5 linked regions of the Canis lupus familiaris genome follow. The protein of the gene in region 5 interacts with the protein of the main gene of each other region in a pairwise test. Links are inferred from orthologs where the notes say so. Each region holds a gene or a part of one and is shown on either strand. Other genes may lie near its edges. The genes, in order: TTBK2, PRR13, TBC1D10C, PDGFRB and KLHL12.

The links.
Region 1: the proteins of KLHL12 (region 5) and TTBK2 interact in binary tests that used the Homo sapiens proteins (3 or more experiments, as listed by UniProt). The two-hybrid records come from large-scale screens. The link is inferred for Canis lupus familiaris from reciprocal best matches to the Homo sapiens genes KLHL12 and TTBK2.
Region 2: the proteins of KLHL12 (region 5) and PRR13 interact in binary tests that used the Homo sapiens proteins (3 or more experiments, as listed by UniProt). The two-hybrid records come from large-scale screens. The link is inferred for Canis lupus familiaris from reciprocal best matches to the Homo sapiens genes KLHL12 and PRR13.
Region 3: the proteins of KLHL12 (region 5) and TBC1D10C interact in binary tests that used the Homo sapiens proteins (3 or more experiments, as listed by UniProt). The two-hybrid records come from large-scale screens. The link is inferred for Canis lupus familiaris from reciprocal best matches to the Homo sapiens genes KLHL12 and TBC1D10C.
Region 4: the proteins of KLHL12 (region 5) and PDGFRB interact in binary tests that used the Homo sapiens proteins (3 or more experiments, as listed by UniProt). The two-hybrid records come from large-scale screens. The link is inferred for Canis lupus familiaris from reciprocal best matches to the Homo sapiens genes KLHL12 and PDGFRB.

What each region holds. Positions count from the first base shown.
Region 1 is NC_049251.1:9,984,392-9,987,902, reverse strand, and holds part of TTBK2 (tau-tubulin kinase 2), read left to right. Parts: intron 1-2,098; coding exon 2,099-2,687; intron 2,688-3,511.
Region 2 is NC_049248.1:44,879,512-44,883,591, reverse strand, and holds the start of PRR13 (proline-rich protein 13), read right to left. Parts: upstream 2,801-4,080; 5' UTR 2,706-2,800; exon of another isoform or gene 2,450-2,705; intron 1,704-2,449; exon of another isoform or gene 1,676-1,703; 5' UTR 1,656-1,675; coding exon 1,637-1,655; intron 1,287-1,636; coding exon 922-1,286; intron 1-921. UniProt on the Homo sapiens protein: Negatively regulates TSP1 expression at the level of transcription. This down-regulation was shown to reduce taxane-induced apoptosis.
Region 3 is NC_049239.1:50,562,817-50,566,989, forward strand, and holds the start of TBC1D10C (carabin), read right to left. Parts: upstream 2,806-4,173; 5' UTR 2,611-2,805; coding exon 2,366-2,610; intron 1,618-2,365; coding exon 1,518-1,617; intron 1,323-1,517; coding exon 1,215-1,322; intron 1,127-1,214; coding exon 1,020-1,126; intron 819-1,019; coding exon 704-818; intron 49-703; coding exon 1-48. Other genes in the region: PPP1CA (serine/threonine-protein phosphatase PP1-alpha catalytic subunit), read left to right, coding at 3,885-3,939.
Region 4 is NC_049225.1:59,839,835-59,844,079, reverse strand, and holds the start of PDGFRB (platelet-derived growth factor receptor beta precursor), read right to left. Parts: upstream 2,811-4,245; 5' UTR 2,767-2,810; intron 1-2,766. UniProt on the Homo sapiens protein: Tyrosine-protein kinase that acts as a cell-surface receptor for homodimeric PDGFB and PDGFD and for heterodimers formed by PDGFA and PDGFB, and plays an essential role in the regulation of embryonic development, cell proliferation, survival, differentiation, chemotaxis and migration.
Region 5 is NC_049228.1:410,990-414,815, reverse strand, and holds the end of KLHL12 (kelch-like protein 12), read right to left. Parts: intron 3,314-3,826; coding exon 3,155-3,313; intron 2,840-3,154; coding exon 2,741-2,839; intron 2,408-2,740; coding exon 2,221-2,407; intron 2,040-2,220; coding exon 1,913-2,039; 3' UTR 511-1,912; downstream 1-510. UniProt on the Homo sapiens protein: Substrate-specific adapter of a BCR (BTB-CUL3-RBX1) E3 ubiquitin ligase complex that acts as a negative regulator of Wnt signaling pathway and ER-Golgi transport.

The sequences.
Region 1 (3,511 bases), on a different chromosome or scaffold from region 5:
TTCTCCCTCTTCCTGTGTCTCTGCCTCTCGCTCTCTATGTCTCTCAAGAATAAATAAATAAAATCTTAAAAAAAAAAGAATTTTTTGCATTTTTGTGGTACTGATTTGATTAAATTCTTATCTCCATCTGTGTTTTTAATTATCGTGATTCTTAACATGAATTGTCTTATAATGTTACAAGATAACCTTTGACTTTGGGAGCTTAGCAGTGGGAGTTGGTAACTTCATGAGTTACCAGGTACAAGTTAAATGAACATTTTGAACTTTTGTTTATAAGGGATCTCTTTTATTGGAATGAGAAGATGCAGTGTAGGGTTAGAGAGTGCATTATAAAGAAGGTATTATAGAAAGGAAGGGGAGTATGTGAATGAGGGAAACCAGTAATTTATACAAAAGGGGCAGGCAGTTCAATTCATTTTAATGTAGGACTTCTAATAGTGAGTACTGTAGGAAAAATAGACATGAATAAGTTTATCATTCTTCCTAGAAAGAAGGGAAGGTGAAACTTTGGAGAACTATTCTCCAAAGGTTATAGTTTATAACTATAGTTAATGTTTGTAAGTCCCATTATTCCCAAATTTTGATAACAGAAGACAGAAATGGAACTTTAAAAAGAATTTGGGGGCAGCCCTGGTGGCACAGCAGTTTAGCGCCGCCTGCAGCCCAGGGCGTGATCTGGAGACCCTGGATTGAGTCCCGCATCGGGCTCTCTGCGTGGAGCTGCTTCTCCCTCTGCCTGTGTCTCTGCCTCTCTCTCTCTCTCTGCATCTCTATGAATAAATAAATAAAATCTTTTAAAAAAAAGAATTTGGGATATATTTATGAATTATAGAAGGCTGCAGTAATATTCAGAACTGAGTGACTAATGATAGTCACATACCCTTCAATGTACATCCCTGGTGGCTGCTATTGGCAATGAAATGTTAGGTTAGAAGGAACATGTATTTGACTAACATAGTAGTTACTATGTCCAAAGAATTCAGATTAATCTAATCTAGCTTCTATTTTTTTATAGTATTTCATATATGTGTATTTTTCCTCACATAGTAATTATTCAGCCACACAGCTACATGATAGAAGCTTGTGTCTGTACATTGATATGATCAAAAGGATGGATTGGAGTTGGGGCAGTGCTTAAACATTTTGAGTTGTGCTAAGATTAGGGATAAATACATAAATGCAACAGGGATGAAAGCTTAGTTTGGTAAAGAATTAGTTTAATAAAAGAACCATGCTGAGGGAAGGGCTGAGAAGTAAGACAGCACTGAGAAAACAGAAGTAATCTAAGGAAATGAACTCAGGCCAGAACCTAGAATGGATAGGAAACAGTTGAAGCAATGAAAGCACCCAACTGCAAACTTGAAAGGGAGAAAACATACTGCTTAAACTGTTTCCCTGAAGTTGAGATCAGTTCCTAGAAGCCAATGCAGCCAAATGGTTACACCATTGCCTGCCCCTCAGCCAGCAGAGAGATTTGTATAAAGTGTCAGTTGCCTTTTCATCCACCCAAACGATATTCCTTGTGTCATCCCCCATGCCCCCATCGCCACCCAGTACCACTGTGTGCACTGCTGCTACATAGTGGGCTGGGCATGCTTGAGAAGGTGTAATAGCTAGCGGTGCCTTTGGAGTTTACTTGGAGTGTACATTTACATATGTCTGTGAAAACAAAACACATGAAGTATTTGCCTAGCTTCTCATTTCCTTTCCTATACTAGCTTCTTCATTTCCTTTTATAGGGCTTCTGGTGAGGCAAAATCCCCTTAGCTAAGTTCTGCCTCAGTCCCTCAGAGAGAGCAGAGGGCAGTGTGATTGAATTTGTAAAGAGAAGGGGAAAGAGATCACATAAGTCAGCCTGAGTAGGCTTCTCTGCCTACTGCCGAGAAGCAGGAGAGCCATCTTCCTCCTGTGGGTTCCATCTTCCAAAACAGGATTATGACAGGTGGAGAAGAACATTATCAGCCTGTGAAAGCTTCCTTATGCTTTATTAATATATTATTCTGTCACATGTGTGTGAATATTAGTTCTGTGTAGAGCTTATAGGTTGTGTATAAATATTTTCCTAGAGCAATTGAGTAACTGCTCTCTGTTTTTAAAGCCTGGAGAAAATGCAGAAAGATTCCAGTGGAGGAAAGGAATCTATTCTCCCTGCTGTGCTTCATAAGCCTTGTGTTCCTGCTGTGTCTCGTACTGACCATATCTGGCACTATGATGAAGAATATCTTCCAGATGCTTCTAAGCCTGCCTCTGCCAACACCCCTGAACAGGCAGATGGCGGTGCCAGCAATGGATTTATAGCAGTTAACTTGAGCTCCTGCAAGCAGGAGGTTGATTCCAAAGAATGGGTGATTGTGGACAAGGAGCAGGACCTTCGGGATTTCAGGACAAATGAGGCTTTAGGCCATAAAACAACTGGAAGCCCTTCTGATGAAGAGCCTGAAGTACTTCAAGTCCTGGAGGAATCACCTCAAGATGAGAAGCTTCTACTGGGTCCTTGGGCAGAAAGTGATCATTTAAAGAAAGAAACCTCAGGTGTGGTCTTAGTACTTTCTGGGGAGTGCCCTGCCACTGCTGCTTCAGAACAGTACACAGATAGGCTAGAACTACAGGCTGGAGCTGCCAGCCAGTTTATTACAGTGACGCCCACAAGTCCGATGGAAGCGCAAGCGGAAGGACCCCTCACAGCGGTAAGAGATTTGTTCCTATTCCTTTTCTCTATTATCCACTCAAGGTGCTGTTTAAAAAGAACTAATAGTTGATCAACTAAGATAGTTCAGCAGATGCCTAAGTTTGGCAGAAGGGGGGTGGGTAGGGAGTGATGTTGGGACTAAATTCTATACTCAGTCATCCATTTTGAAAATTATCAAAGCAAGTGAGTCCTATCAGGATAGCAACGCAACACATAAAGTGTCATTATAACCTAATTTTAGAACAACATTTATAATTAGACCACAAGAGCTATCTATCTATGCATTTAGATATGACTTTAAAAATTTGTCATCCTAGAGATTTTTAATCTCTACATTATAAATCTGGTGAGGAAGGTAAATGTGGTTTCTACTTTATAGCATACACTTGCCTGGCTTGATTCACTTTGTTCTGTTGCTTTTTTTTTTTGTAATCTCCACAGAGAAATTTGTCATATTTTACATTACTCTTAAACAGTTTTCCAGCTTTAATGTCTGTCCATTGTTAAAATACAGAGTTCTGGCCTCTCTTCCAGAGCTTCTGCTTCAGTAGGCCTGGGCTAGAGTGAACCCAGGGGTGGTCTGCATTTTAACAAGTAGCTGAAAATAGTTGTGACTAAGGTCTTCTGCAAAGGAACATTTTGAAGAAACTCCTCTTTACTCTTCAGTTTGGGGATTCAGCTGGAGACACCTTCACCCTTTATTATCAGTGAGCAGTGATGCCCGTATGATGGTGAGCAACAGGAGCCCTGGAAAAGCCGAATATGTTGGCAGTAAGGAAACTGTGTACACAGGTCTTTGGCTCCAGCCTGAGGACAGGTACA
Region 2 (4,080 bases), on a different chromosome or scaffold from region 5:
CTGCCTGTGTCTCTGCCTCTCTCTCTCTCTCTGTGACTATCATAAATAAATTAAAAAAAAAAAAAAAAAAAAGAAACAGCCTCTGTGTGCCTGTCTACCTTTACTTTTTCCTAAGCCCCAAATGGGAGAAAGTGAGGAAGGAGGGGAGAGTACTAGTCAAGGTTCTTTACTTGCACACCCCCAACAACTGTCACCAAACACATTTTTTCATCTCTGCAGGGCAATTTCTACCCCCATTCAACCTCATATCTTTCCTTCTCCTGCAATTCCTACCAAAGATCCGGAAAGGGGTAGTGCCCAAAGCCCTAAGGCAAATAAACACTGGGCACTAAAATGTAAATTAAGGCCTCCTCAAGATCCAGGAAGATCCAGGTGGGTTCGGTCCTTCCAGGGTTGTCCTGAGAGCTACTTGGTTCGGTCCTTCCAGGGTTGTCCTGAGAGCTACTTGTTAGTTAACGCTCTTCTAGAATGAAGATACTAGCTGAGGGCTAGCATCTCTGGGGCTGAGCATGAAATTTAGGTTTTGTTTGAGGCTGAGTCACTGAGAGTCCTGCTGGGTGGTAGGACAAAAAGGCCCCTGTGATAATTAACACAGCACCTCCAGAACACTGAAGGTGGGGGTGTCTGACTTGCTAAACCAAGCGTCTGGGGATGGGGGTGGAGCAAAAGTTCTGGGAGACAGAGACAGGAAGGGCTTTGGATTCTGTTCTGTATTCTATGGCTCAGCTTAGCCTCTCCTCGATAGAAGGCCCGATTTGCCTAGTATTTCAAGATTACCAGATTCTTACCAGTGGAAATACTTTACAAAGAAGAACCGTCGACCAGAGCCACACAATGGCTGCTTCATGTCCTCAGACTGCAAATCCCCCCATGCCTCTGTGGTGGGCACCCCTTCCTAGCCAAGCTCCAGGGGGCACTGACCTTGCCATGCTTGTGGTGTTTGTGCGTCTTTTTATGAGCTTTCTTCATTTTCTTCCGCATCTTCTTGTCCATCACCATTCCCGGTCCCCCCATGCCAGGTGGCAAGGGATTCACAAGAGGCGTGCCAGGAACAGGTGGTGGGTAGGGAGGTGGGTAGGGACCCGTGGGTTGGCATCCGGGGTACCCTGGTTGTGGCGCAGGATAAGGGGGCCCACCAGGGGGAAAAGCTGGATTCCCCTGGGGAGCCCCTGGGGGAGTTGGATAGGGGCCCGGGGGGTAGGCGGGATTCACAGGTGGCGGATGGGCAGGATTGGCACCTCCAGGGTACGCGATGTTAGGGGGATATGGATGAGGCCCTGGCTGTCCTGGTGGAAGAAGCAAAGAATAAGTTAGGATTCCAAGAGCTCAGAGCCTCTGACGATAAACAGGGGCAAAAAGAAGGGGGTTCCGTTTCTCACTCACTACTTACAGGGAAATGCAAAGGCGGGGGAGCAGGTGGGGCGGCGGGGAGGCAAAGCCGGTGGGCAGAGGGAAGGCGAGGGCGGCGGCAGGGGTGGGGAGGGAGGGAGACGGTGACTCGGGACCGACGAGCGCAGGGTCAGCCGAGGAGGAGCGAGGACCGCTTCTGTGCGCGAGGGGGGCGGAGAAAGCGACAGAAACTCCCCGTGCCCGGCTCCTCTGAAAAGCGGTTGCGGCCGAGCCCCCGAGCACCTACCGGCATTGGGATTCCACATGTTCGGGGCCTCCCTGCAGCCTGAGGAGGAAGAAACCAAGGCGAAAAGCTGATGGTGCTGGGGGGGGGGGGGGGGCGGGGGGGGGGGGAAGGGGGGTTAGAGACCCAGCCCGGAGCAGCGCCTCCCGGACTCGCGGAACCGCCTCGACCTCCGCAGGCTTCCTTCCCCACCGTCCCTGCGCTCAGCACCTGCTTCCTGCTGCCCCCAGGCCCGGGGCGCCCTCCCCGCGCCTCCACCTTCCACCACCTCGGGCTCCGCGGGACAGCGCCCACGTCCGCGACCTCCGGGCCCGCTCTCCCCTCCCCTCCCCTCCCCTCTTCGCCCCTTCCCCTCCCATCCTCCCCTCCTCCGCGACCTCGGGGTCCGCTCCCCTCCCCCCCTTCCCCTACCCCCTCCGCGACCTCGGGGTCCGCTCCTCCCTCCCCCCCTCCCCCCCCCCCGCGACCTCCGACCCCGCTCCCCCCTCCCCTCCCCTCCTCTCCTCCCCCCCTCCGCGACCTCTGGGCCCGCTCTCCCCTCCCCTCCCCTCCCCTCTTCGCCCCTTCCCCTCCCATCCTCCCCTCCTCCGCGACCTAGGGGTCCGCTCCCCTCCTCCCCCTTCCCCTACCCCCTCCGCGACCTCGGGGTCCGCTCCTCCCTCCCCTCCTCCCCCCTTCCCCTCCCCTCCTCCCCCTTCCCCTACCCCCTCCGCGACCTCGGGGTCCGCTCCTCCCTCCCCTCCTTCCCCCCTCCGCGACCTCCGGGTCCGCTCCCCCCCTCCCCTGCCGGGGCTGAGCCCGGAAGACTTTCCTCACCCACCGCTACGGAAGGATCTTAAACAACTTCACCGCCCTCAGCCCGGGCAGGCGGAGGGAGGCAGGACCCTCACCCCAGGCCACGGGAAGGAGCCGGAGAAGGCGTCCAGGGAAGAGCCTCCACCGCTGTCTTACGGAGACACACCCCCCTTCCACAGCCCACAGGGCAAGTGGAGAGCCTGGCTCCCGGCTGCCAAGGATCCCTGACCTGGGGACGAGGAAAGGAGGAAACTGGGGAACCCAGACGCCCAGTCACCTTTACACCACCTCCCGGGCGGGACTCATCCTCGGCTCTCACTTCCTGGCCCCCGCCCCCCGCTCCCCGACCTGGGCTTCAGCGCCCGCCCCCGCCCCCGCCCCCGCCCCCGCCCCCGCCTGGTTGGCGAGCGCTTGGCCCGTCCGCGTCGTGATTGGAGAACACAGCCGTCAATCACTCTGGCAGGCGGGGCTGGAGGCCGGCGGCGGCCCCGGGGGCGGAGCGCGGCCCCGGAGGGCGCAGAGGAGTGGGCGGGCCGGAAGCGCCGGGGGCGGGGCCAAGGCGGGCCTCGGAGGGGCGGGGCCGGCTTGTGGGCGGAGGCCCGGGGAGGCCCGGAGGACTCTGCACCGGGGCCCTTTGAGCTCCTCGGGCGGTGGGTGCGACGCCTGGAGAGGTGACCGAGGCGGTGCCAAGGTCCTTGCAGAGCGCCTAAGAGACGGCGGAGAGCTGCCGGGTCTCAGCCCCACGCCTCGGTTTCGCCACCTTCCTCCTCTCCCCTGTGGGAAGTAAAGAAACATTCTTGGGGGAAATACAGAGATTTCCTAATCCCCCTTAGAATTCCCTAGCTCACTTGCATAGCTCCGCCATCCGTCGAATTGCATAAGGCAGAAGCCAAGGAGGTCATCTTTGATGGCTTGTCCCTTGTCCCGCCGCCGCCGCCGCGAAGAGCTCGTTTTGTCTCCCAAATAAATCTGAATTCTTTCCGCTTCTCTCCATGGTCCCTGCTCCTAGCCTATCATCGTCTCTCTACTGGATTGCTGCAATGGCTTCATGTTTTTTTTTAAATCACAATTAACATAAAAAACCATGCACCCCAAACTTAAAAATACTCATTCTTCCTAAGCATACTTAGGCTACTTATTAAAAAAAATTGAGGGGCAGCCCAGGTGGCTCAGCGAGGCCTGACCCTGGAGACCTAGATTCGAGTCCCACTTCGGGCTCCCTGCATGGAGCCTGCTTCTCCCTCTGCCTGTGTCTCTGCCGCTCTCTCTCTCTCTGTGTCTCTCATGAATAAATAAAATCTTAAAGAAAAAAATTGGGTCTCAACTAATATAAATCAAATTTCAAAGAATTGTACACTACATACCACATTCTCTGGTCACAATGTAAAATACAAATATACATCTGGAAATTTAAGAAAACAAAAAGGCTTCCAAATAACTCTGGGTCAAAGAATAAACCATGATGGAAATTAAATACTTTGAACTAAGCCATACTGAAAATACTACATCCCAAATTTGTGGGATATATAAAAAATATTAAGAAGATAAATTGTATACTGTCTATCATCTTGAATTAAGCCCTTTGATAGATTTTTAAAATATTTTTTATTTTGTTTTTTTTTATTTTGAAATAATCCTTAGACTCACAAGAA
Region 3 (4,173 bases), on a different chromosome or scaffold from region 5:
GCCGGGGAGGTAGACCTCGCAGATCTGTACCAGGCACCAGAAGGCCTCCTGGGTGGGGGCACACGCCATGAGTGCCCACACCCAGGGGATCACAGAAGGAACCATAGGATAGGGGAACAGAGCGCGGGAGTGGGCATAGGTGCCCTCTGAGGTCACTCTGGAGCCTAAACTCAGGCTCTTACCAAAAGTCTCTCTGCCTATCAATTGGTTTAGGAGTTTGGAAGTCATTGGGTTCATGGTGTTGAATTTCAGGGTCACAGAGTTGGGGCTCACTGGTCAAGGGTTGGGAGGGTCCTAAAGTTCAAGTCCTGAGCTCTTAGAGTCATTGAGATCGTGGTCACAGGGCTCAGAATCAGGAGTCCTGAGGTCGAGGTGATGACATCCAGATTCTTAGGTCACTGGGGCAGGGAGCAGGGGCCAAAGGGACCTTGACCTGGAGTCAAGGTCGTTGGGCTTGAAAGTCACTGAAGTTGATGGTCATGAGGCCCTAGGTGACTAGGACAGGATCTGGGAGTCAAGGATCCCAGATCCCTGAGTCCCGAGTTCCTGGGGATAGGAGTCATGGGTCCGGAGCACAGGATTACTAGGTCTGTAGGTCACTAGGATGTGGGTCAAGGACCTCAAGTACCTAAGGTCAGGATCATGGATCACTGGGTTTAGGTGTCAGGGTCTCAAGTCCCTGGTTAGGGTCTAGGGCACTCACCTCTGGGGGCAGATGCATGAGTAGCACGGCAGCCACGGGACCCTGGGCCTGACAGTAGCCCTGTTCCGGCCGATGCAGCGTATAGGCTTTCAAGACCTGCAGGAGCCCCTGCTGCCTGTGCCAGAAGACCCCATTAGGGGCTGGTTCAGATACCCCTTCCCTGCCCGAAGATGGCCTCTTCCCAGGTCACAGCCCCCCTGGGCCTCGCTGGATCCCCTGAGATGTAAGGATATAAGCTGAGGCTGAGGTAGGAGTCTGGGCTGAAAGCCCTGGAGGTTGTGGGGCTGGAGGTCCCTGGGTGTCACTGGCCACCTACCCGTGACCCTGAGGTGACACAAACATTTCGTGTAGGGGGAACTGGCGGTGTAGGTCCCTGCTGATGGTCTCCATCCACTGTGGGTCTCCAGGGGCCTCGGCCAGTTCCTGTGTGTGGACAGGAAGCTCTCTGTGAGGGCTAAGAGCAGCCAGAGGCTCTAGAAAGGGGAAGCAGAACCCCTGTCAACTGCATTACCTGATAGGTGCCAGGGCTGTTCTTCTGACATACATGGGCTCCACACAACAGGGGCCAGCAGCGGGCCCGGAGAGCTGAGGGGATGCCTTTCCGGCACTGCATCTTGACCTGCAGGGAGGCCCACCCCAGGGCCCCATTAGATCAGCCAGACCAGCCTGCCCTGCTCCTATTGGAGGATCCCAAGCTCCAATGTGTCATGGGACAAGGGTCACTTGGGGGGGTAGGGACACAGGATGGGTAAATTTTGCCAGGGCATAGGCAGAGGCAAAGGGGGATGACTGAAGAGTCCCATTGTCCCCTCACCTTCTTGTACCGCCGAGACATGGTTTTCTCCCAGTGTGAGGTCATCTCCACCCACTTCATCTCCCGCTGGCGGATAAGGTCTGCAGGAGGGTGACCTGGCCTGTGGGCACAAGGCACAGGCATCGAGGCGTTGGCTGGCTCTCACCCAGAGCCCACCTCTGCCACCTTCCATGCTACCCGGGTAAACTCAGCTCCTGGTTGTGGGGATCTCTAGGGAGCCCCGGGTGGGGGGTAACCTATCACCCAGGAGTTGCCAGTGGTTGTCATAGGGACAGGAGAAAATGTGGCTCTGATGTGGGCAGAAGCAGGAGAGGCTGAAGGGGGTGTGTAGGTGTGTGTTGGGGGAGGGCAGGGGCCAGGTGGCTGTCCTCCAGGACAGGAACACAGACAACTCATAAGAGAGGCAGGTGGCCAGAGCCAAGGGCTAGAAGCTAGGAGTCCTGAGTTTGAACCTGATTCTATCTGATCTGCCGTGTGACCTTGGGCAAGCTCCTATCTGGAATTGTTTTCCTGTCTGTATATCTGGAAAGGAAGATGGTAGGGATAGAGGTGTGGGTTCTTTGGTTTGGTTCTGGGATTATCATGGCAGGGATTAAAAGCAGAAGGATATCTGGCCCCAAGGATAGGTGCAAAGGCTGGGAGATTGGGAGTCAAAGAGACACATGAGGGACACTCTTGCCGCAGCCCTACCAGCTTTAGGATTCCTCCTGGAACATGAGGAGTAGGGACACTGGCTGAGTCCCCAGGCCCTCTAGGACCCTAGGAGTTGAGCCTGTCTCTAGAATTCAGCCCTCAACCCCCATCCTCACTCCCAGCACCCCACTGCCCCTCATCCCTTCCCCACTTACCCTGGCTCTGCTGAGCTGCCCCCAATGAAGCCATAGCGATCAGCCTGGCGATATGGGCCAGGCCCACTCAGCTCTGAGTCGGACCCCAAAGAGCTTGAGTCATCCTGCAGCTCGAAAGGTTGTACCAGGTCCTCCCCCAGGGCCTGGGCCATGGTGCCCCAGACCCAAGCTACCACAGGCTGCAAGATGTGGGGAAAGCCAGTGTGAGAGGCAGCTTCTGACCAGCCTGGGGCCTGAGCTCCCATCCAGCCGGTCCCCAGCCCGGGGACCTGGCTGCAGGGTTCAGAGGGCACAGACTTCAGGGCATCTCACCAAGCCCCCTCTGTCCCCTCTTTTATCGGGGTGGGAGGGTGAGGGTGAGAGTGAGCCTTGAAATGGCAGAAAAGCCAGACCTCTGTGTAGAGGCTGGTCCCCAGGCCCAGCCCCTGCCCCCCCAGGCCAGCTTACCTCCCTGCTGCACCTCACCTCCTCCTCTCACTTCCTCCTTCTCAGCAGCTTCAGCCACCGGCTGGGGGGCCCCTCCCACACTCCCCTCCCAAGTGTGTGGGGGGGTCACCTCTTCCTCTCTGAGGCTCTTCCGGCCTGCCCCAGTGCCCCCAGGACCGTGGGCTCCTCCCACCCTCCCCATGGGCTGGGTGGCTGCAGGCTTGGGCTCCAGAGCAGGGTGTGACCAGTCCAGGACCCACCCGAGTTACAGAGGCCAGGCCCCTCCAGTTTTGAGGTTAAAACAATTCAAGATTCCAGTGAGAATTCTCGTTTATTTAATATTTGCTCTTTACAAGTAATGCTTTGAATATATACCTAACGCAGCGTTATTATGCACTCAGCAGGCAATAACGGAACTTACAAAAATTAGTTCAGCGTGCAGCACAGCGTGGACCAAGATGGGTTCAGAGCGCCGCGGCAGGTGCCTGGGTCTGGCCAGCTGCCTTGAGGGCCGCAGAGACTCAGGAGGTGGAGGCCCCCCGTGAATGTGAGGCCAGGGTTTTGGACCAACCCACCCCCCTGCTATCTCTTGAGTCTCCGTTTCCTTTTCTGCACTTCGAGGACTTGATCCGCAGTGTCTGGAGCATCGGTTATTAATGTGCTCATACCACGCTCCCGCCCAGGGGGTGGGTTAGCGTCTGACAGAGACAAACAACTCCCACAGCACTTCCGGCCCCATATTCTCGGAACTGGACTCGGGTAACTCCTCGGGGGCGGGACCAGACTCGACCCCGCCCTCCGAGCTCCACCCACCGGCCGGGCTCCGTCCCGACGGCCGAGCTCAGCCCGAGCCCCGCCCCGTCCCCTATGCCCCGCCCCCCGGGCCGCCGCGGCCGCTGCGCGCGGTGTCCGGCGGGAGCGCTAGAGCGCGGGGGCAGCGCGCAGGGCGGGGCGGCGGGCCGGGGAGGCGGGGCGGCAGGCCGGGGCGGGCCGGGGCGGGCGGAAGGAGCGCCAGGCCGGAAGGAGGCAGCGGGCGGGAGGGAGGGCGGCAGGAGCGGGCCCGGAGCTGCTGGGGCGGAGCGGCGGCGCCGCCATGTCCGACAGTGAGAAGCTCAACCTGGACTCCATCATCGGGCGCCTGCTGGAAGGTTGGCCGGGGCCGGGGAGGTCGGTGCCCGCCGCGCCCTGGCCCGGAAGTGGTGCGCGGGCGGGCCTGCCCCTCCCCGGGCCAGCTTAGACTGGGCGGGGACGGGCCGCAAGGTCCCGTGGCCACAGCCGCCCCCCGAGTCGCGGCGCGCCGGGGGAGGGGGGTTCCGGGGACGCTCTGGCACGGGGAGCAGCCCCCCTCCTGGGCGGGGGGCGCACGGGTTGGCCTGCGCTAT
Region 4 (4,245 bases), on a different chromosome or scaffold from region 5:
CCACAGGGTTCTGAAACATGTGCAGGGAAGTAAGATGGGCATGGCAGGCACTTCAGGGCAGTCTAGGGACCCTCTCATTCCTTCCTCCCTCCCCACCACACTCAGCAGCCCATCCTGAGCAAAAACCCCAAGTGCCCTCCTCCAGTCCAGAAGGTCTCAGAGCCAGACCATGCCTGGAAGGTGGAGGTAGGCCTTTAGACTGGTCCCTTCCAGGGGCATAGCTCTTGGTGAGGCATAGACTAACTTCACTGCCGAGTCCTGTTCAGGACGGAGGGAGGCCAGTGGGCCTCTCTCAGCCAATGGCCTTTGGGTCCAGCCCTGAGAAGTGCAAGATCTACTACGCACCTTTATCAATATTATCCTCACGGAGACTACATGCCTCCCTGCTGCCTACAGAGGAGGGGGCCGATGCCAAGAGAGACAGAGCACTGGCCCAGGGTCACACAGCCAGGCAGGAGCCAACTAGGGAATAATACACAGTCCTCTGATGCCCAGACCTGATGTTCTTTACCCCAGTGCCCAACACCTTCCAGATGTGGATACAGCCCAGAAAAAAAGGATCCGGGGACCCGAGTTGGCAACATAGCGGACTTGAGTTGAGCCAGGGCAAACGCCAGGTCTCCTGACTCTGAATCTGCGGGGCTTTCCGCTGTCCCACATCTGGGGGCAATTACAAATCTCAGCTCCTCTTCCCACAGAGGAGGGAGGGCTGTCCCATCACCACTAAAGGGAAGGTGCTGGCCAGATGGTCCTCCTTCCTCACTTAGGACCTGGCCAGACTTCGGGTAGACCCAGTGCAGGCGGAGCCTGCCGCCGAAGGTGCTGGAGCCAGGAACGGCCTCAGTGGGAGAATGGAGACTCCCTGCCTTCTGCCCTGGGGCTCCCTGGGTAGCCAGGGGGTAAGTCTTCAGTTTCAAGTAGACTTTGGCCTAAGTACCAACTCTACTAACTATGTGACACTGGGAAAATCACATAGCCTCTCTGAGCCTTGGCTTCCTGGTCTGCAACACAGGGGTAACGACAATACAGATTCCCAAGAGCTGCTGTGGGGGTGACAAGGTGTGTGGGGTCTCGGCTCTGTGCCTGGCACAGTGAAAGCACTCCATGGCGGTGACCCACACAGCAGCACTATGGATCCGGAGCTACGGATCCGGGGCTACGGATCCGGGGCCTGCTGCAAGGAGGCAGGGGAGGACCGCATGACCTCAGATATCTCCCTAGAGGCCTCCTGCATTCTGGGATGGCAGACAGGCAGGGACACTCCTCCCTGTTTGACATAGAAAAATGCAGTCTGGAGGAACAGCGTGCTGTTCTGGAAGGGCACCTGAGGGAAGGGTGGGGCTTGGTTCTGGTCTCACATTTGGGAACAGCAAGTCTTCAGTGAGCCCCTCCTACCTTTTGCCAGCACATTTTCTGTTTCACTGCCTGCCTGTCTGCATATGTTGGGGACGGAAAACAAGATGGGGTCACTTGGGGCCCAAATGATCTCTGATGTGCACACAGAGCACAAACAGGAAGAGAAGGCCAAGCAACAAGGCAAAGGGCATGGCAAGCACTTGGAAGACTGGAAGGACCCCGGAAGGCTGCCTGGAGGAGGGGGAGGTAGGGCATTCCCTCCATTTTCCTTCACGGAAAATGAGGAGGGGCATTCTCACAGGCAAGATTGTGCATACTCCTCCTGGGGACCCTGGGATCTGACTGGCGGGAACACAAGGACCAAGTTTGGAGAAATGCGGCAGGGAGCTTATTATCTCCCCAAGCTCTGCCAGTTACTAGCACCGTGATACAGTTTTGTAGCTGCTGTGAACCTCACGCGTAAAACCAACATAAAATCCATCCCTGCCTCTGGAGCCGCTGGTGAGTTACGTGAGATCATGCTCATAAAGCTCTCCGCACAGTCCTGGCATGCAGTAAGTGTCAATCAGTGGCAGCTACTATTAGGAGTTGGGGCTTTCTATAGGGGAGACTCAAAGAAGGAATCGTGATCAGATTCATGTTTTAGGATGGAGTGAAAGCAGCGTCGGAAGGAGGGAGACAGCGAGGCGGCTTGAGCAGCTGCCTGGGTCCAGAGGGAAGGGCCCAGCAACCGACTCCCCCTTCTTTCCAGAGGGGCCCCTACATCTGACGGCGGATCCCAGGCCCCCAGCCCCACAGCCCCGACTGTGAGACTGTGACTGCTAGGCTAGGCCTGCCACAGCCCCCTTGCCTTCGCACTTTCCCAGCCACTGGGGGTTTGGAAGGACATCTTAGGAATCTGGAAAATTTGCAAATCCATTTAAATCCCCAGAGGTTGCCTGGCGGCCGACTGGCCTAGAGCCAGACAGATTCTTAAGGACAAGGCTTGGGCCCAGAGACAGGGGCCATGGCTCTGAAGTCCCCTATCCCCTGCTAGATCTCCATTCCGTGCACCCTCCTTGCTGCCTCCCAATTCCCCTCTCGAGCTCCTGCCAGCTTTCCCCGGCCCTCTCAGGCGGTTCTATGTTTTGGAGGCCCTCAGTCTGCACCCAGAAACCTCTGGGGTTCATTTGGCAAAAGCAGGGGACAGCAGGGCTATGGAGACCGGCTGGGCCACCCACCCCAGAAGCAGCCTGAGCAGGAGAAGAGAAAACTGGCTCCTCCAGCCCTGACGTCGCCCACAGCCTCCCAGCTTCTTCCCATCTGGTTTTGTTAAAAATATTTTCCATTTTTTGACCTACCCAAGAAGGCACAGACTGGAGCAAGGGGACAGGACAAGGGGCTGGGGATCCCCCTTCTCCCAGCACTTACCTTGCTGCTGATGCCTTCGGGGGTGGGCACAGTCCTGAGCTCTGGGCTGTCACCCCCTCCAGGAAGTCCTCCTCGCTGACCTCTCATTAACAGAAAGACTTTGCTGGACTCCCCAACGGGGCCACGGCTGGGTCGCAGAGCAGGGAAGACAGCCTAATCTCCGGGCCCTGGGAGCCTCAGGAGGATGGAGAGAGTGGGGGGCTGCAGGGGTGAGTGAGGAGTGGCCTCACTGCCAAAGCATCCTTCTGGAGGAGCAGGGCTGCCAGGAGGGGCCGCCCTGGGTCTGGCCCTCTGCGCTGCAGGGCACAGGCTGCTGCCCCCAGCTGCTGGTCAGGGGGGCCGGGTCCTCTCCGTGCCGTCCTCCTGCCCTCTGCCTCCAACTTGTTCGCAGAGGGATCCTGGATCCCAGACGGGATGGGCAGGGACTGCGGGCGCTGGCAGCCCGGGAGCTCACACCACTGTGGGCTTCCCTGCCCTCCCCCTGCTTTGGGGGAAAGGCTGCAGGGCCGCCTCTGATTGGCTCAGCCGGGAGCAGGGGGGCGAGGGGGCGGGGAAGGTGGACGCGTGTGTCTGTTTTCAATTTCAGTTTCTTCCCCCTCTTTCTTTTCCCCCAAGTTTCTTGTTTTTCTTCCTTTTTTCCCTCTGCTTGCTCTCTCCGTCGCCTGCTCTCTCAGGATGTGAGGGGATGTTTAGAAATTCCGCAGCCCACGCCAACCGCTGAGTCACTTTTATTAAAAAGTGGTCCGGCCCCACCTCTCTGATGCCCTGCCGCGCAGCACCTGGGGCCGACTCCCTTGTCTGTGCCTCAGTTTCCACATCCATAAGGGCAGCTCTGAGCACCTATATGATTGATTCAGGCAACATCCGTTTATTGAACAAGCATGTGCTAGACACCATGCGGGGTGCTGGAGGTGGTAGTGAGCAACACACAGTCCCTGACTCCAGGGCTGCCCTGGCTAGTGGAGACACAGGAGGCACAGGGAGGTACCCTGAGGAATAGCAGGGGGGCTGAGAGTGCATTTAGAGGGGCAACTAACTGAGGCTTTGGGATTATCAGTCGCTGTCACAAGAAGAAACCCAAGGCTCAGGTGTGAATTGGCACAGAGAGGGAAAGAGACCTGGCGATGTCACCCGGTGTACTTGGGATTTCCAAACACATTCCTTCCTGTCATCTCGCTGTCCCTCAAGTACCAGGAAAGGGTTATTTCCCCATTTTATAGACAATGAAACAGAAGCCCAGAGAAGAGGAATGAGCTTCCCAAGCTCCCACAAGCAATGGCAGAACTGGAGTGGAATCAGGTCTCCCGAGTTCCATGACAGAACAGACACAGGTGACCTGACCCCGGGGCAAGACTCCCATTGCAGAGCAGACTGGGCCTCCTGCCCCGCCTTCTTCCAGGGTTATCCTTTTCTCTGCATCTCATTCAGTCACCCAACACATATTTTCGAGTACCTGCTAATGTCCCCTTTCCAGCCTCT
Region 5 (3,826 bases):
ATCTGCTGAAGAAAGGTTGGCAGGCTTCTTTAGAGAAAATAACTTCCTTTTTGGCTCCCTCTTTCCTTTGCTCTGGAAATACCAGGATTTTTTGCAGTTTTGCAGGCCTTCTCCATAGCTATTTATATCACGTGCCATAAATCTAAGCAAATAAAAAAAGGACCGGAGTGACTTAACACCCTAAAAGTCAAGTGGGTACTAAATTAGCTCAAGATGGATTCCCCTTTATTCTGTTTGGTTTTCAAGTAAACTCCAGGTGTGAGAGGAGTCAATAAACATGCAATTTCATATAAATACTTTACTGATGAGAATCTTGGCAAGGGTAAAGGGGTAGCTACCTCTTACCCATGTCAGAGAAACATAGTGGAGCTAGTTGGCAAACACACAGGGTAACAGGGAGGAGAGAGAAGACATACAGCTGATCACTGTGCCTGCTCCCCCCTCCCCACCCCACCCCCAGTATCTGCAAGACCATGCTGGTTAGCCACAAACTCTCCTATAGGCATTTGAGACCATTGATTTTTAATATTTTATTAAAAAAATACAAAGGAAATGAACTCTTGAGGTCAATACAACTCGGAAAGAGAAAAAAATGGAATTTCAGAATAAAGGGAAAGTGCATCCTTCTTTAGGTTATCACATCCCCACACTTACAATACCCACAAAACTAAGACTTTCACTCCAAAACACAGGGGGAGCCTTGAATGGTGGCTCAGAAATGGCGATAGCAAGTACTGGAACTAACAAAAGGATTTTGGTTGTTCTTGATTATTCTGTCCTGGGATAAATAAAATCCACCCTAAGGACAGGCGAGGGCCTTATAGTAGGAAAAGGATGAACTGTACCAAACACAGCAGAAAAACCACTTCTCAGCAGAAGGGTGCCCTTAAAAGAATGGGGCAGTAATCAGGTAGCTGAACTTTTTGGCTGCTGCCACCCCCACCCCACCCCAAATAAATAGTAATGAAGTATAATAGTGTAGTAGTATTTGATTCAACACAGAGAGATAGTGTCTCACCTACTCAAGGCAAACCATGCCACGGGTAGATGAGCCCTGGCAGGAAATAAGACGATTGTAAAATCACAGGTACTTCTAGTTTGTTCCCAGGCATACTGAACTCCCACGTTCATTCCATCTCTGCCCATCCCGACACTCGTTCACTCTTACTCTGTCAGTCTCTGGTGCCAAGACGCGCACCATTCTGGTTCAGAAAGTCCATGGGGAAATAAAAAGATCCTTCAGTATGACCACCCTCTCTTAAGTCTTCCAGGTTATACTTTAGTGGTGTTCTCAGTTCACTCACCTTCCATCAAATTCTTCTGATGTCCCTACTCTAAACCTGGTTCTGATATACCAACCCTGTCCCTGAAGGGAGTGGCAGGACTCTCTCCAAGCCCCCAAAGTGGGACAGGGGGCTCTCCCCTTTGTTATCCTCCAGAATGGAACTGCTGCCCCTAGCTACTGTAGACTAGGAAAGATCTTCCTGGAAAACAAGACTTGGATTTTACCCAGCTTCCTCAAGTTGGTATCCTTCCGATCATCTACGCTGGATACTGCCCACATTCTGTAGGTCACACTGATTCTTAAGTGTCTGCAATACACGAGGCACAACAGATACAGAGATTCTCCTGAGCACATGAGAGTGCTGTCTAGACCAGAAGAGGTGACCTGGCCTCTCAGATCCATTCAGTATGCACTGTCTTCCCTTGAGTGTCTGTTACCCACCCTCCTCAGGGACAACTACCAGCGTAAGGTGGAGTGTGTGTTAAATAAGTACAATCATCACTGCACTGGTGCTTGTAATTACCCTGTGCACACAGTGAGAAATAGATATTCTGGAAAGGATCCTTGACTCTCCCGTAAACTGTCCCTTGGACTGGTCACTAGCTCTGGATGGCGCTCCAACAATGGTCACTTCTCCCGAAGAACACAAACCCCAGCATCACAGCGCTGGGTTCCCATGGATGTCACTACTTCCCAGCTGTCGATGATAGGGTCATAGCACTCAATGCTACTCAGCAGGGAATTCCCATCATATCTGAATGGGGAAGAAGCAAAAGAAGAAAATGAACTTTCTAATCCTTTCCATACAGTCCTACATTAAAGGCGGCCACTGGAGATGTCTCCCCCAACCCAAAGCCAGTCTTGATCCAAAAATTCAGATTGGATCATGTGGTCCTCGATCCCTGAGGACTCTGGTCTGGCTTCCAAATCCTTACCCTGCAATAGCATAAAGTCTCCCTCGAAGCACTGTGGCCCCGACATAACATCGCGGAGTGGTCATACTAGTGACAGTTGTCCAGGAATCGGTGCGAATGTTGTATGCTTCAACAGAAGAAAGGTGGGCTGTCCCATCAAATCCCCCCACCACATAAATATGGTCATTTAGCAGGGCTACACCTGCACCTGGGGGAAAAAAAAAGGTATAGCAAGTAAACACTACTAAGCTCAGGATCAGAATTCTAAAAACAAAACACGATCACTGAAAGCTAGCTGAATTCTACAGCAGCTGAGGGTGTGGACAAAGGCCAGACAGGCCTAGAATAATCTAGTTGTCTTTATTCTCACTATATGTAAAGACAAGCAAAGGAGAGAATGTGGAACCTCATTTACTCTAAGCGTAAGTGAAGAAAGAACTACAACTGATTTGCTGATACCGTATCTTTGGGCCACCACTGCATATACAAAGATTTGTCAGCACGGTCTATTGTCCTCTCCCTTAGGTATGACTGGGCTTACCAGAGCGCTTGGTGGCCATTGGTGTAACATTAGTCCAGTGTCCTGTGTGGGGATCATATTTCTCAACAGAATTTAAGATATTCAAGCCATCATATCCTCCTGAAAAACAAAGTACAGACCATTCAGAAATATTGGGAAATCCTCACGTCCATTCCCAATCTGTCTTTCTCTCAGTGTTTCAACTAATTCTTTCAGTTTTAGTTCTTAAGAGTTCCAATAATCCAAAGAGAAATCTGACAGTACCCGGTTTCCTGCTTCCACGAAAAAGAATCCCAGCTAACAGAAAAAATAGGATGACAGACTAGGATTTTAGTTGAAACAAGTCTATGAACTTCATCTTGATAAAAAGAGATCCCCACCCAAAGGTTGCCACCCATGTAGTTCCTGCCCATCTCTCCCTCCCAGATGGAATACCTAGGCAGTAGATCACTCCGCTGGCCACAACTAGCCCGGCACCCTCCCGGGCTGTCTGCATATCTCCCAACATGCTCCATTGGTCAATGTTTGGGTCATACCGCTCCATACTGGTATGACGCCTGCTTCCGTCAAAGCCTCCAGACACATAGATCATATCTGCTCAGAATGAATGAATCACAGACTATTAGAGGATGAGAGATTTCTAAGGACTCCTCTCTTTGCAAATTCCCCACAAGTCTTTCAAATGTTTGGGAGCAAAACCAAAGTGTTTTTCTTGGGTAAGCCAATTAAGTTTTATAGGTAAGGAAGACATCACGGTTAAGACACCTAAAAAGATGGGGGGGGGAGCCTACGTGCCTCGGCTGGGCGTCCTTCTTGATTTTGGCTCAGGTCATGATCTTGGGAGGATCCTGGGATCAGGCCCCATGTCAGGCTTCGTGCTCAGCAGGCAGTCTGCTGGAGATCCTCTCCCTCTGGCCCTCCCCACCCAATTCCCACTAGCACATGCTCACACTGTCTCTCAAATAATAAATCTTAAAAACAAAACAAAACAAAAAAACAAAAAACAAAAACACAGAGAGGTGCCTGGGTGGCTCAGTCGGTTAAATGTTTGACTTTGGCTCGGGTCATGATCTCATGGATCCCCGTCTTGGGACTGAGCCCTGAGCT